Oryzias latipes: one gene and its partners. The protein of the gene in region 1 interacts with the protein of each later gene in a biochemical or structural test. Links are inferred from orthologs where the notes say so. Each region holds a gene or a part of one and is shown on either strand. Other genes may lie near its edges.

Region 1 (6,601 bases):
TTACATTGTTACATCTGAAGAATAAAGAGTTTCAGAACAGCTCTGAATGAGCAAATGCAAACACGTGAGGAATAAGGAAAGAAATGATGACAACTCGTTTTAACATTTGAACTGTACATGGAACTATCTCAACACTGCAGCCGACCGATCAGTCCACCTCCTCCATTCTGGACGCGTCGTCGTCGCCTTCCAGAGGCGGCATGTCCTCAGTGGGAGCAGAAGTGGTTTCTTCTACCGGTGTGTCGTCCTCATCAATGCCTGCAGTAAAAATGAAAAATATTAGTTAAAAATCTATCAGGATATAAAACACAAACTCAAATATTGAACTTTTTGATGGACTCCTTACCAAGACCCAGTTTGATCATCCTGTAGATGCGGTTAGCATGTGTTTGAGGGTCCTCCAGGGTGAATCCTGAAGACAGCAGGGCGGTCTCAAACAGCAGGATAACCAGATCCTTCACCGATTTGTCATTCTTGTCGGCCTCAGCCTTCTGCCTTAGAGTCTCCATGATGGGATGGTCGGGGTTGATCTCCAGGTGCTTCTTAGCAGCCATGTATCCCATAGTCGAGTTGTCGCGCAGCGCCTGGGCCTTCATGATCCTCTCCATGTTAGCCGTCCAGCCGTAGGTGCTGGTGACGATGCAGCATGGGGAGGAGACCAGGCGGTTGGACACTGTGACCTGTGGAAGGACTAAAGCATTAGGACTGCATCCTACCAGGAGACCCCCCCGCCATCCAAAGAAGCGTTCTTCTGCTTACCTTCTCAACCTTCTTTTCCAGGATGTCCTTCATGATCTTGCAAAGGTTCTCAAACTGAGCTTTCTTTTCTTCTTGCTTCTTCTTCTCCTCCTCATCCTCAGGCAGCTCCAGACCTTCCTTGGTGACTGAAACCAGGTTCTTGCCATCAAAGTCCTTCAGCTGCTGGACACAGTACTCGTCGATGGGCTCGATCATGTAGATGACCTCAAGACCGGCTTTGCGAAGGCGTTCCACAAAAGCAGAGTTGGCCACCTGGTCCTTGGTCTCGCCTGAACCGCAAAACATGACGTCAATCATCTGCTAACACTCAGGTGAAGAATCAGCTCAGATGCAGGTGGAGCAAGGCCTCACCAGTGATATAGTAGATGTGTTTCTGGTTGTCCTTCATGCGGGTGACATAGTCTTTGAGGGAAACCATCTCATCTCCAGAGGCTGAGGTGTAGTATCTTAGCAGCTCAGACAGCTTCTTCCTGTTCTGAGAGTCTTCGTGAATTCCAAGCTAAAGGGGGACATAGTATGTTAGTGGAAATGAACTGGAATACACCTTTCAGAAAGGTTTGTGGCGTCACAAAGCTACCTTGATGTTCTTGGAGAACTGTTCATATAACTTCTTGTAGTTGTCCTTGTCCTCAGACAGCTCTGTGAAGAGCTCCAGACATTTCTTAACCAGGTTCTTACGGATGACCTTCAGGATTTTGCTCTGCTGCAGCATCTCTCTGGAGATGTTCAGGGGCAGATCTTCAGAGTCCACCACACCCCTGATGAAATCTGACAAATGAAAAGTAGAATTCAGTTTAGTCATTTTGCTCCCCGCTCACCTCAGATTAGAATAGAATCCAGCAGGTCCGGACACTTACTGAGATACTCAGGGATGAGCTCATCACAGTTGTCCATGATGAAGACTCTACGCACGTAAAGCTTGATGTTGTTCTTCTTCTTTTTGTTCTCAAACAGGTCAAAGGGGGCACGGCGGGGCACGAAGAGGAGGGCACGGAACTCCAGCTGCCCTTCCACTGAAAAATGCTACAGAGGAAGGAAAGGGGGGGTTCAGAAAATGTTTCCCTTGAGACCAGATTTCCCCTCAACTTCCATCTGAATCACCAACCTTGACAGCCAGGTGATCCTCCCAGTCGTTGGTGAGACTCTTGTAGAACTCCCCGTACTCCTCGTTGGTGATGTCGTCTGGGTTGCGGGTCCACAGTGGTTTCGTTTTGTTCAGCTCCTCCTGGTCGATGTACTTCTCCTTGATCTTCTTCTTTTTTTTCTTTTTGTCTGAGGACTTGTCATGGTCATCCTCTTCATCTGACCCCACATCCTCAATCTCAGGTTTGTCCTCATCCTTCTCTTCCTCGTTCTTCTCCTTGTCTTTCTCCTTCTCCTCTTCCTCAGCCTCGTCGTCACTCACCTCCTTGTCCCGCTCCTTCTCCACCTGCAACCACAGAAGGAACAGTTTCAGCTCACTCGGATCAGAATACATCCCCTCGAAGTAAAATACAGGGTTCTGATACGTACAAAGAGTGTGATGGGGTAGCCGATAAACTGAGAGTGTTTCTTCACAATCTCCTTGATCCTCCTCTCCTCCAGGTATTCTGACTGATCTTCTTTCAGGTGGAGGATCACTTTGGTTCCTCGGCCCAAAGGCTCAGCTAGACATTGAAACCAAGAGTCAGTCAGCACACGAGAACCACAAACACCAGAAGCTGACATTCAAAAGCCTCACATTACTTACAATTGTCCAGTTTCACTGTGAAGGAGCCTCCAGCAGAGGATTCCCAAGCGTACTGCTCGTCGTCGTTGTGTTTGGTGATGACCGTCACCTTCTCAGCCACCAAATATGCAGAGTAGAAGCCCACGCCGAACTGCCCGATCATGGAGATGTCGGCTCCGGCTTGTAAAGCCTCCATAAATGCTTTAGTTCCAGATTTGGCGATGGTTCCCAGGTTGTTGATCAGGTCCGCTTTGGTCATTCCGATTCCCGTGTCCATCAAGGTCAGCGTCCGCTCCTGTTTGTTTGGCGTGATTTCGATTTTGAGTTCCTTTCCCGAGTCGAGCTTGGCGGGGTCAGTCAGGCTCTCGTAACGGATTTTGTCCAAAGCCTGTCGGAACAACGGATCCATGAACTTCCTTTTAGACGACCTGCTCACTTTTCATTTAGTACAACTGCAGCCAAAATGCAATTCTATGGGATTTAAATGGAATTTAAATTCATAAAAATAAAAAGCAGATAAAAAAAAAAAAAAAAATTCAATCAAAAAGAGACAAAGCCCAATGAGCACTGCCTAAGAAGAAACTGTCCAAGAATAATCAGTGAATTTAATAAATTAGCATTAGATTCAGTGCAGATGAAATATAGAAAAAAATCTTAGGCTTGTGTAAACTTACATCTGAGGAGTTAGAGATAAGCTCTCTGAGGAAGATCTCCTTGTTGGAATAGAAGGTGTTGATGATCAAGGACATAAGCTGAGCGATCTCAGCCTGGAATGCGAAGGTCTCAGTCTCCTCCTCCATTGGTTGGTCATGCATCTCAGGCATCTGAGTAACAAGAAAATATATCCTTTAGCTTAAGTTAACTAAAAATTAACCTTTAGTTATTGTTCCAAACACAAACAGCTTTATAGTCAAGATAGTGGGTTTAATAGAATGAGGGACACAAAAAATGAGTAATCTGGTAAAGTAGAGTCTATTATTTTGAAAAAAAAAATAATAATTCTAATCCTTAAAATTCAGATATACAATCCCCTTTTATAATCCTCCTTTAAAATTGGTTTTCAGTTCACCAAGTCCGAAACTAAAAATCTCAAAAATATAAAAAAAATTGTTTACATTTTAAATATTTAATTAAATTTGAAAAATCTTTTGAACAAGTCTCCAATGGCCTTTTTCTCCATCTCTTCCATTTGCGCAGCAGTGTCGCCCTCTGCTGGTTACCCAGCGTAAGGCGAGTTTCTAGAAGGTACCAGGAGGAGAGCAGAGCACGCGCAGCTTCACGAGGAGCAGAAAGTCGCTGCTCTCATCAACCGTTTTCAGAGTTCGTATGAATGAGATGTCCGCACAAAAAAATAAAATAAAATACCGGGACCAGCTCGCCCGGCTAAAACAACGGCTTAAAACTATAACAACAACAATTAAATAACCCGTAAGCGCATAATGTTATACTGCTGACACATGCAGGGCAGCAGCATCTCATCATTACCACTCGACTGGACAAAAAAAGTGGTTCCTTTATTAACCCTTAGAGAAAAATTAAACATTTGAGTAAATAGTTTGTGGCTAAATGCTTAAAAAGTAATTCACCCTAATAATCAACGAAGTGTGCAAAGTTAACAGATTTAAGAACCTTATTTTAGTCTCTAATCACGACGAGTCCTGCAGCTCATTGTGAGTGCATCATTTACCTTGGTCCTCCGTGGGAGTGGAATGCTCCGCTATTGATCGCTGTTTCTCGCTTTCGTCGCTCCACTGCTTCAAAATCTGTCCCGCCGTTCGTCTCTCCGCTATTTGTACTCTTTCAGAGGCTTCGAGAAAAAACCCTGACGGGGGCTTCCAGAAGCGTCTGGAATCCTCCCGGCTGCGGCTTGGTGGTGCTCGCTGATAGGCTGAGCTACACGTCTGTCAACGCCCGGTCCCCGCCCATTTCACCATATTTGGTGTTGGTAGGTGGAGAATGTGGAGAGACTATACCAAGCGAGGAACACGTGTAGGAGTGGGATCTAGAAAGAACCACGCTGTGTGCATTGAAAATTCCAGAACTAGAAAGAAAAACCTTTTCAAGTTACGAACTTTCTTAATTAAAATGTGCTTCACATTTGCAGAATTGGTATTTGACATTTTTGGCTTTGAATATTTTAAAGTTTAGCATGCATTAGGTTAAAAAAGACAAAAGGCTCTAACCATTATATTTTATTAAAAATTTTAAAGTTTTACATACAAAATGTAAAAGTTACAAAAGAAACACAAGTGAAAGCTGAGAAACTTTTTATATAGCGAATTGAGTTTTTAAATGTTTCTATATACAGTGTTTCCATTTTGGCAAAAGTCAATTAATGTCTGTATTTGTTTTGTCCAGGCAATACAACACATGTTACAAAAATAAAATAAAAAACCTTTGAAAGGCCTGAAAAAAACATTTAGTCAACTTCTTCCATTCTTGATGTGTCATCATCTCCCTCCAATACTGGCATATCTTCATCAGTCGGCTGAATGATGTCTTCAACTGCAGAGTCGTCATCATCAATTCCTACAAAAACCAGACAGCATTCTTTAGCAACCAACCAATCTGAACTGTGGGAATTGTAATTGTGTTTGCAGGTATATAGGAAGTAAAACATACCAAGACCCAGTTTGATCATCCTGTAGATGCGGTTAGCATGTGTTTGAGGGTCCTCCAGGGTGAATCCTGAAGACAGCAGGGCGGTCTCAAACAGCAGGATAACCAGATCCTTCACTGCTTTATCATTCTTGTCCACTTCAGCCTTCTCCCGTAGTGTCTCGACGATTGGATGGAGTGGGTTGATCTCCAGATGCTTCTTGGCTGTCATGTATCCCATGGTGGAGTTGTCCCTTAGGGCCTGGGATTTCATGATCCTCTCCATGTTAGCCGTCCAGCCATAGGTGCTGGTGACGATGCAGCATGGGGAGGAGACCAGGCGGTTGGAAACTGTGACCTGTGGAAGGAGAAACAAAGTTTTTAATGATGAAATTCTGGTGATTGATCAAAATTTATGAGGTAAACCCATTTTCCAAGAGCATACCTTTTCAATCTTTTTGTCCAGTATATCTTTCATGATCTTGCAAAGGTTCTCAAACTTAGTTTTGAGTTCCTCCTGCTTCTTCTTCTCCTCATCATCCTCAGGCAGCTCCAGACCTTCCTTGGTGACTGAAACCAGATTCTTTCCATCATACTCCTTCAGCTGCTGGACACAGTACTCGTCGATGGGCTCGATCATGTAGATGACCTCAAGACCGGCTTTGCGAAGGCGTTCCACAAAAGCAGAGTTGGCCACCTGGTCCTTGGTCTCGCCTAAACCGCAAAACATGACGTCAACCATCTGCTAACACTCAGGTGAAGAATCAGCTCAGATGCAGGTGGAGCAAGGCCTCACCAGTGATATAGTAGATGTGTTTCTGGTTGTCCTTCATGCGAGAGACATAGTCTTTGAGGGAAACCATCTCATCTCCAGAGGCTGAGGTGTAGTATCTTAGCAGCTCAGACAGCTTCTTCCTGTTCTGAGAGTCTTCGTGAATTCCAAGCTAAAGGGGGACATAGTATGTTAGTGGAAATGAACTGGAATACACCTTTCAGAAAGGTTTGTGGCGTCACATCAAAGCTACCTTGATGTTCTTGGAGAACTGTTCATATAACTTCTTGTAGTTGTCCTTGTCCTCAGACAGCTCTGTGAAGAGCTCCAGACATTTCTTAACCAGGTTCTTGCGGATGACCTTCAGGATTTTGCTCTGCTGCAGCATCTCTCTGGAGATGTTCAGGGGCAGATCTTCAGAGTCCACCACACCTTTAATGAAATCTGAATGGACAAAAGAAACCTTGTTCAACTTTAAACTTATTTTTTACACTGCAATATGACAGATAGTTAAGATTATAAATTAGGACTATATGTGACTATCATGTGTTGCTTACTGAGATACTCTGGGATGAGCTCATCACAGTTGTCCATGATAAATACTCTGCGCACGTATAGCTTGATGTTGTTTCTTTTTTTCTTGTTTTCGAAGAGGTCAAAGGCAGCTCTTCTCGGTACAAAGAGGAGGGCTCTAAACTCCAGCTGACCTTCCACTGAGAAGTGCTGCAGGTTCAACAAATACATGTTAGTGTTAGCCAGATAGA
Region 2 (5,999 bases), on another chromosome or scaffold:
TATTTGCCATAGGTATTAAACATGAATGAGGTTTTGGAATAGTTTTCTCTTTGTTGTAAAGTTTTCTATTGAAATGAATGGGATTGAGCTACTTAAGAAGCCATCTGGCAGTGACTCTGTTAGCCGACCCGGCTGCAGTTTCTGCCTAAAGCCAGCTTTAAGCTGAAAGGCACAAGGCTCTTCTCTTCCTTCCTCCTGGTCTTATTACTAAGTCAATAGTTTTGGTGTTGATTAAATTAAAAAACAAAAATAAGATGCAGCCCCGTGATTGCATGTTGTAACTGATATCTCACTTGTTCTTAGGATGGGGAAGTTATTGGTATCAACACAATGAAGGTCACTGCTGGGATTTCATTTGCTATTCCATCTGACCGGCTGAAAATCTTCCTTGATCAAGCAGCAAAGAAAACCAGTAAGAAATAAAAAGACCTCCTGTTTTCTGTACAGACTCTACACCTGATTATGTTTTTTTCTTTAAGAGTCTTCAGTTGGCGAATCTAGAACTAAGGCTCGATACATTGGAGTTATGATGCTGACGCTGACTCCAAGGTAACCACAGCGATTTCGGCATATTTAAATCACCAGAGCATCTAAATCCATATTGGTCTGAATCCCTCCGTAGCATCATCACTGAGCTGCAGCTGAGAGACCCCATGTTCCCCAACGTGACGCATGGCATCCTGATCCACAGAGTCATCATTGGCTCGCCTGCTAGCAGGTAAAGCGCTGTAAGGGAAGTCGAGTATGACCCAGATTGCAGGTGATGCATTCAAGTGCCACTCATTTCTCCCTCGGGCTGCTTTGTGCGTTTCAGAGCCGGCATGCTAGCAGGAGACATCGTAGTGGAGATCAACGGCGTTAAAGTCAACACCTCAGAGGAGATCTACAAGGCGGTCCGCAGCAGCGACAGGATCACCATGCTGGTGCAGAGAGGGAAGGAGCTGCTGCGACTGCAAGTGACTCCTGAATTCATCGAGTAACAGGATGGAGACGGACAGGCGTCATGTCTGCCTTCCCTGCTGGCACACTGAGGAAATGTGAACACAGACTCTTCGTTTAAGTTTCCCTTTGAGTAGCACAGATGCCATTTTAATAACTCTGAGAAATGAAACATCTAATTTGAAATGTTTGTCTTCCCCGACCCATAATGCACTGTTTGTTAAATAAAAAGGTCAACTGCAAACGCTCCTATTTTTCTTTTAAAGCCATTTATTGTTAAACAGCAAAAGTAGCATGAGTGACTCAAAACTACGGCAAGAAGAAATGGTATTAAATGGACTACCATTAAGTGAGCAAGAAAGTGTTAGGATGTACATGAGCAAAATGGGATTAGAACTGACCGCTTTGAGAACGTCACACAAATGACTAAAACCATGAATCCAATTCATGTTTAAAAAAAAAAAAAAAAAAGTAAATCCTGCATGAGATAAAACTTCACACCAAGCTGTGAAGCCACACTGAACACATTTCCCTGGTATATGTACAGTAACAACAAATAAAGTGACTTGTACTAGACTGCTACACAATTGTGTTTAGATCAAAGACAGCCATTAAATGGAAACATTCAACCCACTTCAGGTTTAAGCCATATCTTTCTAGGTACGAGTACTACAACATACAAGTATGGGAAGAAAAAAATAGAACTGTTTATATCCCATTAAAACTACGTTAAAAAGGCTTAATATATATTGCTGGTAGTCATTTTTTTCTTTAAGAAAATAGAAATTGTGCGACTGAAGCTTACAATACACTGCTGGCAGTAGCGCCAGGTTCTATGGTGACCCGTTGCAGACGGGTCACCTGTCAAGGCGCTGTGTGCTGAGAGACCCCTCCCCCCCTAGGAAGAGGGAGAAACAAATGAACCAAGAACTACGACAATCCCACGAACCCAAAAAATAAAAACCCACACTGCTGCTGTGGTGTTTGTCTTGGTGGAATGCTGCAAATATCACACGATGTGCACGAACAGCAGCCGGACTAAATAGTCGAACTCGTACGGATACATAAATAAGGAAGTGTGGGGTGGAGGGCGGGAAGGAAGGAGGGGGGATGAAAATGTCAGGGACTCGTTGTAGTGTCCAGTCAGTCCAGCAGGGAGAGACCGGCTCAGATGACGTGGTCCAAAGCCCGCAGAAGCTCCTCCCCCTGCAGGAGGCACTGGCGACCTTGTAAAGGGGCGTTGACCTCGCAGTCATAGCGAGTGAGCTGCGGCAGAGTGAAGGGAGAACTGGAGCTCTCGGAAGTGGTGCCAAGCAGCCGACTTGCCAAATCTACGTCAGAGAGACATCAACTTCAGCTGACATGTTACAATGAAACCGACCCAGTCTTTTTTATTTTTCTTACCTGATGATACCAAAAGGACAGTCCTGGTTGTTCCCAGCTCTGATGCTTTTAGTTTTTTGCCTTTCTCTGACTCCTTGGGCAAAGGTCCCTGAGAGGAACATCAAATAAAAATGGTTTACCTGAAATCTGTGGAAGTGAAGTTACATCAACTATTTAAGGTGGACTTACCTGTTCGATGATCTCCATTAGATCACTCAGCTTTCTTTTACGCTGCGTGTTTGGAGCTGCTAGACTGCAGAGGTGGACATCTTTCTGCAGGTTTCCAGCTCTGCAGCAGAGAAACATTCCATTTAACCAGCTGTTCTAAAATGTGACGGAAGTTGTTCACGTTTGGAGACGTCACCTGTCCAGTGTCTCGGTGGGCAGAGACGCGGTGCTGGCAGTGTCAGGAGGCCCTGGAGAGGCCGTGCAACCGCTAAGTGGGCTGAAATGGGAGCTGGGATAGCTGAGGGCGTCTTGTGTAACACCAACCGGAGAAGGCTTCAGGGGTTTGGCTGCTCCAGAAGACTGTGGCTCCTCCACGGCGACACAGGGCAGCTGGAAATCATCGTCCATGGAGATGTAGGGAGCCAACATTTCCAGATCCAAGTCCTCCGTCAACATTAGGGATCAAAGCAGTTCAATCAATGAGAGTTCTTGACAGTTTTGGTTTGATGATAACTAAATAAAGACGCTACAAATACAGTAAAAGCTGATGATTACCTGTGTGGTGAATGGGGTTTTGGATTCGGTGTCGATGGCAAACATCTTCTCCACCAAATCCAGTTTGAATTCAGAGTTCACTTCTGAATCCATGGGGAAGCAAAAGTCTATCGGACTGGCGGTCTACAATAAAAAAAAACCCTTTCCATTGTCCCCTCTTCAAAAAACAAAATAGTCAATACTTTTAATAAATATGCTTTTCAAGCCGACCCACCTGCGCCGGACTGTCCGGGATCAATGTGTTGGGTGGGGCTTCGCTGGGACTCTCAGGTTTGGCCTCATCAGGTGTGTTGGACAGACCGAGAACCTCGCTGGGCGGCAGAGGGGACAGAGGAAGAGCCAGCTTGTCACTCGTGGAGAGCAGCATCACATCATTGTAGAGAGGAGTGTCCTTCAGCAAGTGGATCTCTGGTTCTGGTTCTTCACCAGGAAAATCGGAACCAGAGTGAGAATGGGTTCACTGATGCTAATAATGAACATTTCTGAATGCGGTTATAGATCTACACACCAGGCTGGCTGAAATCCAGGGAGATGATTGTGTCTCCAGCTGCTGGAGCGAGCAGGGTGAGGGCCTCAGGCTCCTCCTTCAGCTGGTCATACAGTGTGTCAAACGGTTCTGACTCCATCATCTTCTTAAAGGGCTTTATCAGTTCTTGCTCCGGTCCAGTTTCTGCCGTCGTTGATGCAGTCTTGTCGCTCTCAGCTCCAACCTCGCCTGCCTCCTGCGGCTCCTCTTTCACCGATTTCACATCCTCAATCTGCTCCAGAGACATGATCAGTTTCTCTTCTTGGATTCCACTGTTCAAAAAAAAAAAAGCATAAGACAGGAAAGTTACATCTGCAGCAAAGAAAAATCTTCTGCGAATGCTTTGATGATTATGTCTTCTCTAAAGACGCAACTGTCCAATCTGCAGAGACTTCACAGTACCTGAGCACAAAGTTGACACAAACAACACACTGCGGCTGAGAGTTCTTGGTGTTGTAGATAACGGTGGCTTGTGTTTCGACCCACACAAAGCCTCCACTCTTGGCCAACATCCGGTATCTACCCGTGCAGACCTGGCCCTTAGCAAACACTACAAGCATAAAAAAATTAACTGATTTAAAAACACATATATATATATATATATATATATATATATATATATATATATATATATATATATATATATATATATATTTCAAATATTATTAAAACAGAAGCTAAAGTTTAAATTTTGGTTTTAATTTTTTTAAAACAAAACTGTTTTACTTACAGTTTTGGTGAGTCTTAGTGAGATGGTCTGAGTCCAGAGCGTGGTAGTACTCATACACAGAGCGATTCATAAGGTCCTCTGGGTCATAACCCATGAGCTCAGTGATCCTGGATTAAACAAAACAAAGATTTTCTTTAGGTCTAGACTTTCAGTACCAGTACTGAACAGTAGGGGGCTCTGTGTGGTTACAAATGTTTTAAATGAGTTCACACTCTTAACCTTTTGCTCTTACTGTATTAAAAGGAGGAGGAGGAGACAAAACAACAAAAAAAAACCCACCTCTCATCACAGTAAGTGAACTTCATGTCCATTGTGTGGCGGCTGAGGAAGGTCTTGGTGTCCAAAGGGACCTCGATGTTGGAGGGGTGGGGGATTGGGTCACAGATCAGAACCAGGTACGGAACAGGAGGCTCTTTTTGTCCGTTACTGTTCTGCTCAGCTTCAACGCTGTTAACGTGCACGCGACCTGAGCAATGAAGCACCTGCAGGCACAAAACAGTAAAAACACATTCAGTATAGGACAACAAAATGCTTTCCTTTATTTTGGATACAAACATTTCACCTATCTATATTCTAAAAGAAAAAGAAAAAAAAAATCCCCTTCTTAAATTTACAATATATCAATACCAAATGTGTCGTTTATCTGCTTTGTGATCCTGCCAACTGAAGTGTGTTCAAAAGGCAATGAATGCAATCTCATTATGATTATTGTGTAACTTCATTATTATCTTATTACAGTCGCACTGATACAGAACAGGCCTCACATTAACCAGTCATGCAGCTTCTAGAAGGTTAAACAAATAAAACCTCACACTCAATAAAAACTAAACATGAAAAAAACCTGATAAACTTGACCACATGTCTATCACTATTGAAACTGACATTGACGTTCTGACCTAAAATATTGTTATGACTTGAAAATGACCCCAACCTTCCATGTAGCTGACTTGACATTGACGGTGCGCCCTCTGCTGGTGAGTGTACACTTCATTCGGAGGAAGAAGCTGCGCTCTGGATTTGGTTCTTTTGCTTTCTTGGAGCCTAAACACACAAGAAATGTTGAGCTTGAGTTGACAGAAGTAAACCAGAGTTACATTTCAAGCAGCTACAAAGAGGAGGCACTGAGCTACATACATACTTTCACTGGGGTGAAGACTGATTAAAAATGAGGGGGGGGGGAGGGGGGGGTTGGGCTGGAGGCAGCAAATCTGCTCCAAAAAGCTCATTTTAGTAAAAATCATTTTCTTAGCTAAATGTAATTAACATCAACACCCAGCAGCAAATCAAAGGTAAAACATGTTTGCTCATCACGATGTGAGAAAACTCTTCTTATCAACGTTACATCTGGGATGCAGGAGTTGGTTTTCCTCTGAAGTTGCTGCAGCTCACCTGTTCTGTACACCAACATCTCCCTAAGCTCCTCCTGGTCACAGGGATGTGTGTAGTCAAACACATTGTGCCCGGTCAGGTCAAACTGCAAAAAGATGTCAGCCGTGAACAACTGTGGAGCATCTCCATGCGTTCCTCTTTCTCGTAGGAAGTCTAGCCTTACTTCCAAACTTCCTGTTTGCTTCTTGAAATTTTCTACTGTCCTGTTTCTGATATTACGGGACTAACCTGTGCCAGCCCAAGGCATTTGTTGACATTCTCTGAGAGATAAATCATATCTCCGTCTTCAGACAGCACCATGAGAAAACC
Region 3 (5,845 bases), on another chromosome or scaffold:
AGCGTCCAGCCGGCCGTCCACTCGATGCTTAACTGCTGCGTGGCTCTTCAAGCTGATTTTGGACTCAGCGTTTGAAAGTCGTTTCATTTTAGGCAGATTATCACTCATTTCACGGCTGCCTTGAAAGTGTGCATCTGAAATGCCCACCTGTAAGTCAGCGTGACTGTCTGAAAGTCAACCACACACACACACACACACACACACACCCACACACACACACACACACACACACACACAGACTTCAGTGTGCTTTACCTAAGGGCTTTACTATATTTGTTGACTGCAGCTTTCCAGTCCTGGTTCTTAAAAAGGCTGTTTCCAATATTCTTCACGTCTTCAGCAACTGACAGAACTTTGTCAACCTGAAAGGAGAAGAAGATTAAACAACAGTGGAGGGGCTTAAATCGGCTTTTTCATTTTCAAAATATACATGATTCAATCTGTTTATTTCTACAGCTTCAGGCAATATTGTTCTTTCTTAGGGGGACAAAGTTAGAAAAACAAAAATCATTACAACCCTGAAAGTCTACTGGACAGGACGGTGGAAAAACAAGACAGAAACTCCAATAACATCAAAGCAAATATTCAGCAAACCTGCCATTGAATTGATTTAAATGCACTCGCAGCATCAAACACAGAAAATGTAATCCAAAACACACCAAAGTCTCTTCTTATCTGCCCTGCTGCCTGATTGTGCAGTCAGTGACAAACATTTCCAGAAGTGGCGTGCTGGTCCTCTCAGCGCCGTCTGATCCCATCTGCCAGACGGAAGCAGAGTCCTTGAAGATCAAAGCCCGCTGTGACACTCACGTCTTTAAAGTCCACGTCCGAGTCCTCGGGGAAGTCTGGGTGGGCGTCTCCCGTGCCGTCGCCCGCTGGGGCGCCCCAGCTGTCGCCGTCCTTGTGCTCCCCACAGTCAGCGATGACACAAGGCTGCACAGACAGAAACCTGGATTCAGACATTCCTGTGGGAGTCCAGGCAGGGACAGTCATCGGAATGTGGCGTTCAGGAACAGCGTCAGTATGGAGGAAGGGTGGGAGCTGATTGTCAGAAATGCCAACAGTTGCTTTTTTTGTTACTGTTAAAAAAAAAGTAGTAGCTTTCTGAGAAACCAGAAAAAAACAACTGGACCTTCCAAGACAGAATCTCACCAAAGAATAAAGACGAGACAGGAAGCAGGGAAGTACATAGTTCCACTTCCACGCAGAGGAACACAACAGCTTTGTGCTCTTCATCAGCTGAATTTCTCATCAGTTTGCAGTGTGAAGAGGAGGGCAGACAGCAGAGCGGCAGCTGAACATCACTGACATTCTGATCAATCAGCAGCACACGGTTCTTCATCGAGCGTTGCAGCTTCGAGGGAAAAGAAGGGTGATGGAGGTGCAAGACAAACACTAGAATGCATCTGGCAATGATGCACAAATCCCGTCAGTGACCAAAGTTCATCCACCTGAAGAGACGTGTGCAGTGGGTGGAGGAAGGTTTCAGGTGTGATGTGTGACTAAAGAGCGTCATGGGAAGCAGACGGGGATGGTTTGGACACGTTGAGAGGAGGAACGGCGATGATGTTGGGAAGGTTAGAGCTACCAGGAAAGAGGCCTAGAGGAAGATGTCCGACCCCCAAACTCAGCTCTGCTGCGCATCAATGCACGTTAGTTCAATACCGTCCATAGTGCCTGTATTATTAACTGACTTCTTAGGTTCTTCTGTTATCAGACAAGGGTTGTGTGTTTTTTTTAACATACCGGTACGGGATGAAGACAGAAGACGTCTGGCGAAACATGTCAGGTATGTGAAAAAAACCAACCGTGTCTGATAACAGAAGAACCTAAGAAGTCAATCAGTGCATGTTCAAAACCCACATTTCTTTACTATTTAGCTCAATTTAAGCTCAAACTGCAAAATAGAAAGAAAAAAACAACCAACCAGTCAGCATAAACACAACAAACGTTTACATTCCTAACTAATCACTGGTTACCATGGTGATGGGGGGGGGGGGCCTTGACCATACGAATGTTGAGAGCTGGAGCAGAGTTCCAGAACCGTGTGTGTGACTGACAAACTGACAGCGGTCCAAATCGCAAAGAACCAACTGAAAGAACAGTCCAAACCTGAAGGACCTGAAAGCCGGACCTGGCTAAAGATGGCGAGGCTCACACTGGACCGAGTGAGCGTGACATCATCCGTAGAAGATGACTAACTACCAGATCCAACAAATTGAAGTCCATTCAGTTGCCATTTGCTCATAACTAGGAGCCAGACTAGATCAGTAAGCCGTGATTGATCTAGGCTTGAGTCACCATCTCTATGGCAACCACTCTGGCATATCAGGGGTGAGTTTGTTAGAAGTCTACACTCCTACCACACAAAACCTGTCAATCACACGTTTCCAACATTCGTAGTGAGGCCACACACTATTCAGGCGTCTGATCGGTCAGTTTATAACCTGAATAAATGCATTACAGAAAAAATGAGGGTTAATAAGAACATGTTTACAAAGGTATCAGAAAGAATCCAGAACGCTTCTTCTGACCAATAGAATATCTAACAGCTGTTTATTTCTCTCCAGAGGTCTATGGGATTCCTGGAGCCAGCAGGTACTTCCTGTTAGGACGCTGGGGGACTCAGTCCAGTTTTCTTATACAGTCATTGGCCTCACATATCTGATGGGAGGGGCCAGCAGTGTCAGAAACCCCTCCCACTTCAGAATCACAAACTGCTGAAAGTACTTTTCCCAGAGTTCTGCAGCATCTAAGCTCCTCCTGTGGAATACTGTGTTTGATGGGAAACGGAAAAAGACCGGCCTTTATTTTTCAAAACATTGAAGACTGTCCAAAGTAATAAATGATGTGGTGAAGATTCTGAATTGTGTTCATCAGCTCACCTTGACGGGAGCATCTTCCTCGGTCTCAACAGCTTCCAGCGTTTTAACCACTCCCATTCCCTTCAGCACCTGTCCGAACACCACGTGTTTTCCATCCAGGTGCGGCGTGGCCACCGTAGTGATGAAGAACTGGGAGCCGTTGGTGTTGGGCCCCGCGTTGGCCATGCTCAGTAGACCCACTTTGTCGTGCTGCAGCAGGAGAAAACACAAAGCAGACGCCTGTAGACAGCCATGCATCCTTTTAATACCACACCCTCTGAATCCTAAAGCTGGAATGAATCTTCTCACCTAATAACAAACACACATTACTGCATCAGAATAACAACCCAAGTGAACTGTCACATTTCTACAATCATCATCATGAACATTAGAAGAAGAAATCCATACAAAAATCAGAATATTAATAAAAGATTCATTGGGATCAATGGCATAACAGGGTTAAAGCTAGGGCTGCACCATATGAGGAAATCAAGTGATCTGCCATATTAGTGATCTATGTTGCCATGACGATATAACTTGCTATACATGAACAAACAGTTCAAAGTCTCATTTCCATTTAGCTGCAACAGTTACATTTAAATAAGAGTCAACATAACTTAAATTATACCACAAATGACACTAGTCTATGAGAGGCAACCATCCAACATGAAGGGCTCCATCTGATTGGTCAAGTGCATCAATGAAATTATTTTTATTCGTAAAAAATTGTCTTAGCACATTTAGGGGAAGCATTTATCGCAATTTTTGCTGTATTTTGCGCTATGCGTATTGCAGGTATATGCATGATATGCATATTTGCGATTTACTGTGCAGGCCTGGTTAGAGCTAAATAAAAACAGTCTGAGTCTGTCCCACTGACCTCCACAGCAGATAAAATCCTAAAGGAGGAAGCTCCAGAAACAGGTCTAAACAGCTCCAGGACAGTAACGCAGTTCTTTACTAGTAATAAAAGTGAAGTGTGTCCAAAAGTAGAGTAGTAAGCCAGTAGAGACATGAAAACTGATGTTCAGAGCTTCATCTTTCTACCTGCTCAGAAGGTTGAACTCTGCACGAGCTGCAGACATTTGCTTTTTTTCACGACGACCAGAAATGATGTAACAATGGGTCCCTACAAAATCTAATAGTGGGTAGAAATCCAATTCTTGCTGATTGATTTTGGAAAATGTGATCAATATACAATGACGTAAATCTGTCAAACTCCCGTAGGTTGCTTCCTGGAAAACATGACGGTGCAGACAATCATGACATTAGCTTCACTAATGAGGACATTAATATGTCTGGAAAATAGACAGGATGACGCTGCTGCCCTCTCTGCTGCCCTCACTGCTGCCCTCTCTGTTGCCCTCACTGCTGCCCTCACTGCTGCCCTCTCTGTTGCCCTCACTGCTGCCCTCTCTGCTGCCCTCTCTGTTGCCCTCACTGCTGCCCTCTCTGCTGCCCTCTCTGTTGCCCTCACTGCTGCCCTCTCTGCTGCCCTCTCTGTTGCCCTCACTGCTGCCCTCTCTGCTGCCCTCTCTGTTGCCCTCTCTGCTGCCCTCTCTGCTGCCCTCACTGCTGCCCTCTCTGCTGCCCTCACTGCTGCCCTCTCTGCTGCCCTCTCTGTTGCCCTCTCTGCTGCCCTCACTGCTGCCCTCACTGCTGCCCTCTCTGTTGCCCTCACTGCTGCCCTCACTGCTGCCCTCTCTGCTGCCCTCACTGCTGCCCTCACTGCTGCCCTCTCTGTTGCCCTCTCTGTTGCCCTCTCTGCTGCCCTCTCTGCTGCCCTCACTGCTGCCCTCTCTGCTGCCCTCTGCTGCCCTCTCTGCTGCCCTCTGCTTCCCTCTCTGCTGCCCTCACTGCTGCCCTCATTGCTGCCCTCTCTGTTGCCCTCTCTGCTGCCCTCTCTGCTGCCCTCACTGCTGCCCTCTCTGCTGCCCTCTCTGCTGCCCTCTCTGCTGCCCTCTCTGCTGCCCTCTCTGCTGCCCTCTCTGCTGCCCTCACTGCTGCCCTCTCTGCTGCCCTCTCTGTTGCCCTCTCTGCTGCCCTCTCTGCTGCCCTCTCTGCTGCCCTCTCTGCTGCCCTCACTGCTGCCCTCACTGCTGCCCTCACTGCTGCCCTCACTGCTGCCCTCACTGCTGCCCTCTCTGCTGCCCTCACTGCTGCCCTCACTGCTGCCCTCACTGTTGCCCTCTCTGTTGCCCTCTCTGCTGCCCTCTCTGCTGCCCTCTCTGCTGCCCTCACTGCTGCCCTCTCTGCTGCCCTCACTGCTGCCCTCTCTGCTGCCCTCTCTGCTGCCCTCTCTGCTGCCCTCTCTGCTGCCCTCACTGCTGCCCTCTCTGCTGCCCTCTCTGCTGCCCTCACTGCTGCCCTCACTGCTGCCCTCTCTGCTGCCCTCACTGCTGCCCTCATTGCTGCCCTCTCTGCTGCCCTCACTGCTGCCCTCACTGCTGCCCTCACTGCTGCCCTCACTGCTGCCCTCTCTGCTGCCCTCTCTGCTGCCCTCTCTGCTGCCCTCACTGCTGCCCTCATTGCTGCCCTCACTGCTGCCCTCTCTGCTGCCCTCACTGCTGCCCTCACTGCTGCCCTCATTGCTGCCCTCTCTGCTGCCCTCTCTGCTGCCCTCACTGCTGCCCTCACTGCTGCCCTCACTGCTGCCCTCATTGCTGCCCTCACTGTTGCCCTCTCTGTTGCCCTCTCTGCTGCCCTCTCTGCTGCCCTCTCTGCTGCCCTCACTGCTGCCCTCTCTGCTGCCCTCACTGCTGCCCTCTCTGCTGCCCTCACTGTTGCCCTCTCTGCTGCCCTCTCTGCTGCCCTCTCTGCTGCCCTCTCTGCTGCCCTCTCTGTTGCCCTCTCTGCTGCCCTCTCTGCTGCCCTCTCTGCTGCCCTCTCTGCTGCCCTCACTGCTGCCCTCACTGCTGCCCTCTCTGCTGCCCTCACTGCTGCCCTCTCTGCTGCCCTCACTGTTGCCCTCTCTGCTGCCC

The links. The genes of interacting proteins can lie anywhere in the genome.
Region 2: the proteins of heat shock protein HSP 90-alpha (region 1) and hif1a form a complex in vitro, tested with the Homo sapiens proteins (4 studies listed by BioGRID and IntAct, with this or other methods). The link is inferred for Oryzias latipes from reciprocal best matches to the Homo sapiens genes HSP90AA1 and HIF1A.
Region 3: the proteins of heat shock protein HSP 90-alpha (region 1) and ppid form a complex in vitro, tested with the Homo sapiens proteins (2 studies listed by BioGRID). The link is inferred for Oryzias latipes from reciprocal best matches to the Homo sapiens genes HSP90AA1 and PPID.

The regions. Positions count from the first base shown.
Region 1 is NC_019882.2:17,293,673-17,300,273, reverse strand, and holds the start of heat shock protein HSP 90-alpha, read right to left. Parts: upstream 4,315-6,601; 5' UTR 4,155-4,314; intron 3,292-4,154; coding exon 3,142-3,291; intron 2,856-3,141; coding exon 2,489-2,855; intron 2,406-2,488; coding exon 2,272-2,405; intron 2,189-2,271; coding exon 1,865-2,188; intron 1,783-1,864; coding exon 1,617-1,782; intron 1,528-1,616; coding exon 1,337-1,527; intron 1,259-1,336; coding exon 1,111-1,258; intron 1,029-1,110; coding exon 760-1,028; intron 681-759; coding exon 347-680; intron 259-346; coding exon 149-258; 3' UTR 1-148. Other genes in the region: heat shock protein HSP 90-alpha 1, read right to left, coding at 4,887-4,996, 5,090-5,423, 5,511-5,779, 5,862-6,009, 6,091-6,281, 6,395-6,560. UniProt on the Homo sapiens protein: Molecular chaperone that promotes the maturation, structural maintenance and proper regulation of specific target proteins involved for instance in cell cycle control and signal transduction.
Region 2 is NC_019880.2:11,957,302-11,963,300, forward strand, and holds the end of hif1a (hypoxia-inducible factor 1-alpha), read right to left. Parts: coding exon 5,919-5,999; intron 5,776-5,918; coding exon 5,691-5,775; intron 5,343-5,690; coding exon 5,233-5,342; intron 4,784-5,232; coding exon 4,581-4,783; intron 4,409-4,580; coding exon 4,302-4,408; intron 4,122-4,301; coding exon 3,974-4,121; intron 3,844-3,973; coding exon 3,554-3,843; intron 3,466-3,553; coding exon 3,260-3,465; intron 3,169-3,259; coding exon 3,046-3,168; intron 2,941-3,045; coding exon 2,687-2,940; intron 2,612-2,686; coding exon 2,512-2,611; intron 2,432-2,511; coding exon 2,344-2,431; intron 2,271-2,343; coding exon 2,107-2,270; 3' UTR 1,192-2,106; downstream 1-1,191. Other genes in the region: serine protease HTRA2, mitochondrial-like, read left to right, coding at 304-412, 480-549, 623-718, 815-980.
Region 3 is NC_019868.2:1,144,772-1,150,616, reverse strand, and holds part of ppid (peptidyl-prolyl cis-trans isomerase D), read right to left. Parts: intron 3,075-5,845; coding exon 2,886-3,074; intron 934-2,885; coding exon 811-933; intron 363-810; coding exon 256-362; intron 1-255. UniProt on the Homo sapiens protein: PPIase that catalyzes the cis-trans isomerization of proline imidic peptide bonds in oligopeptides and may therefore assist protein folding. Proposed to act as a co-chaperone in HSP90 complexes such as in unligated steroid receptors heterocomplexes.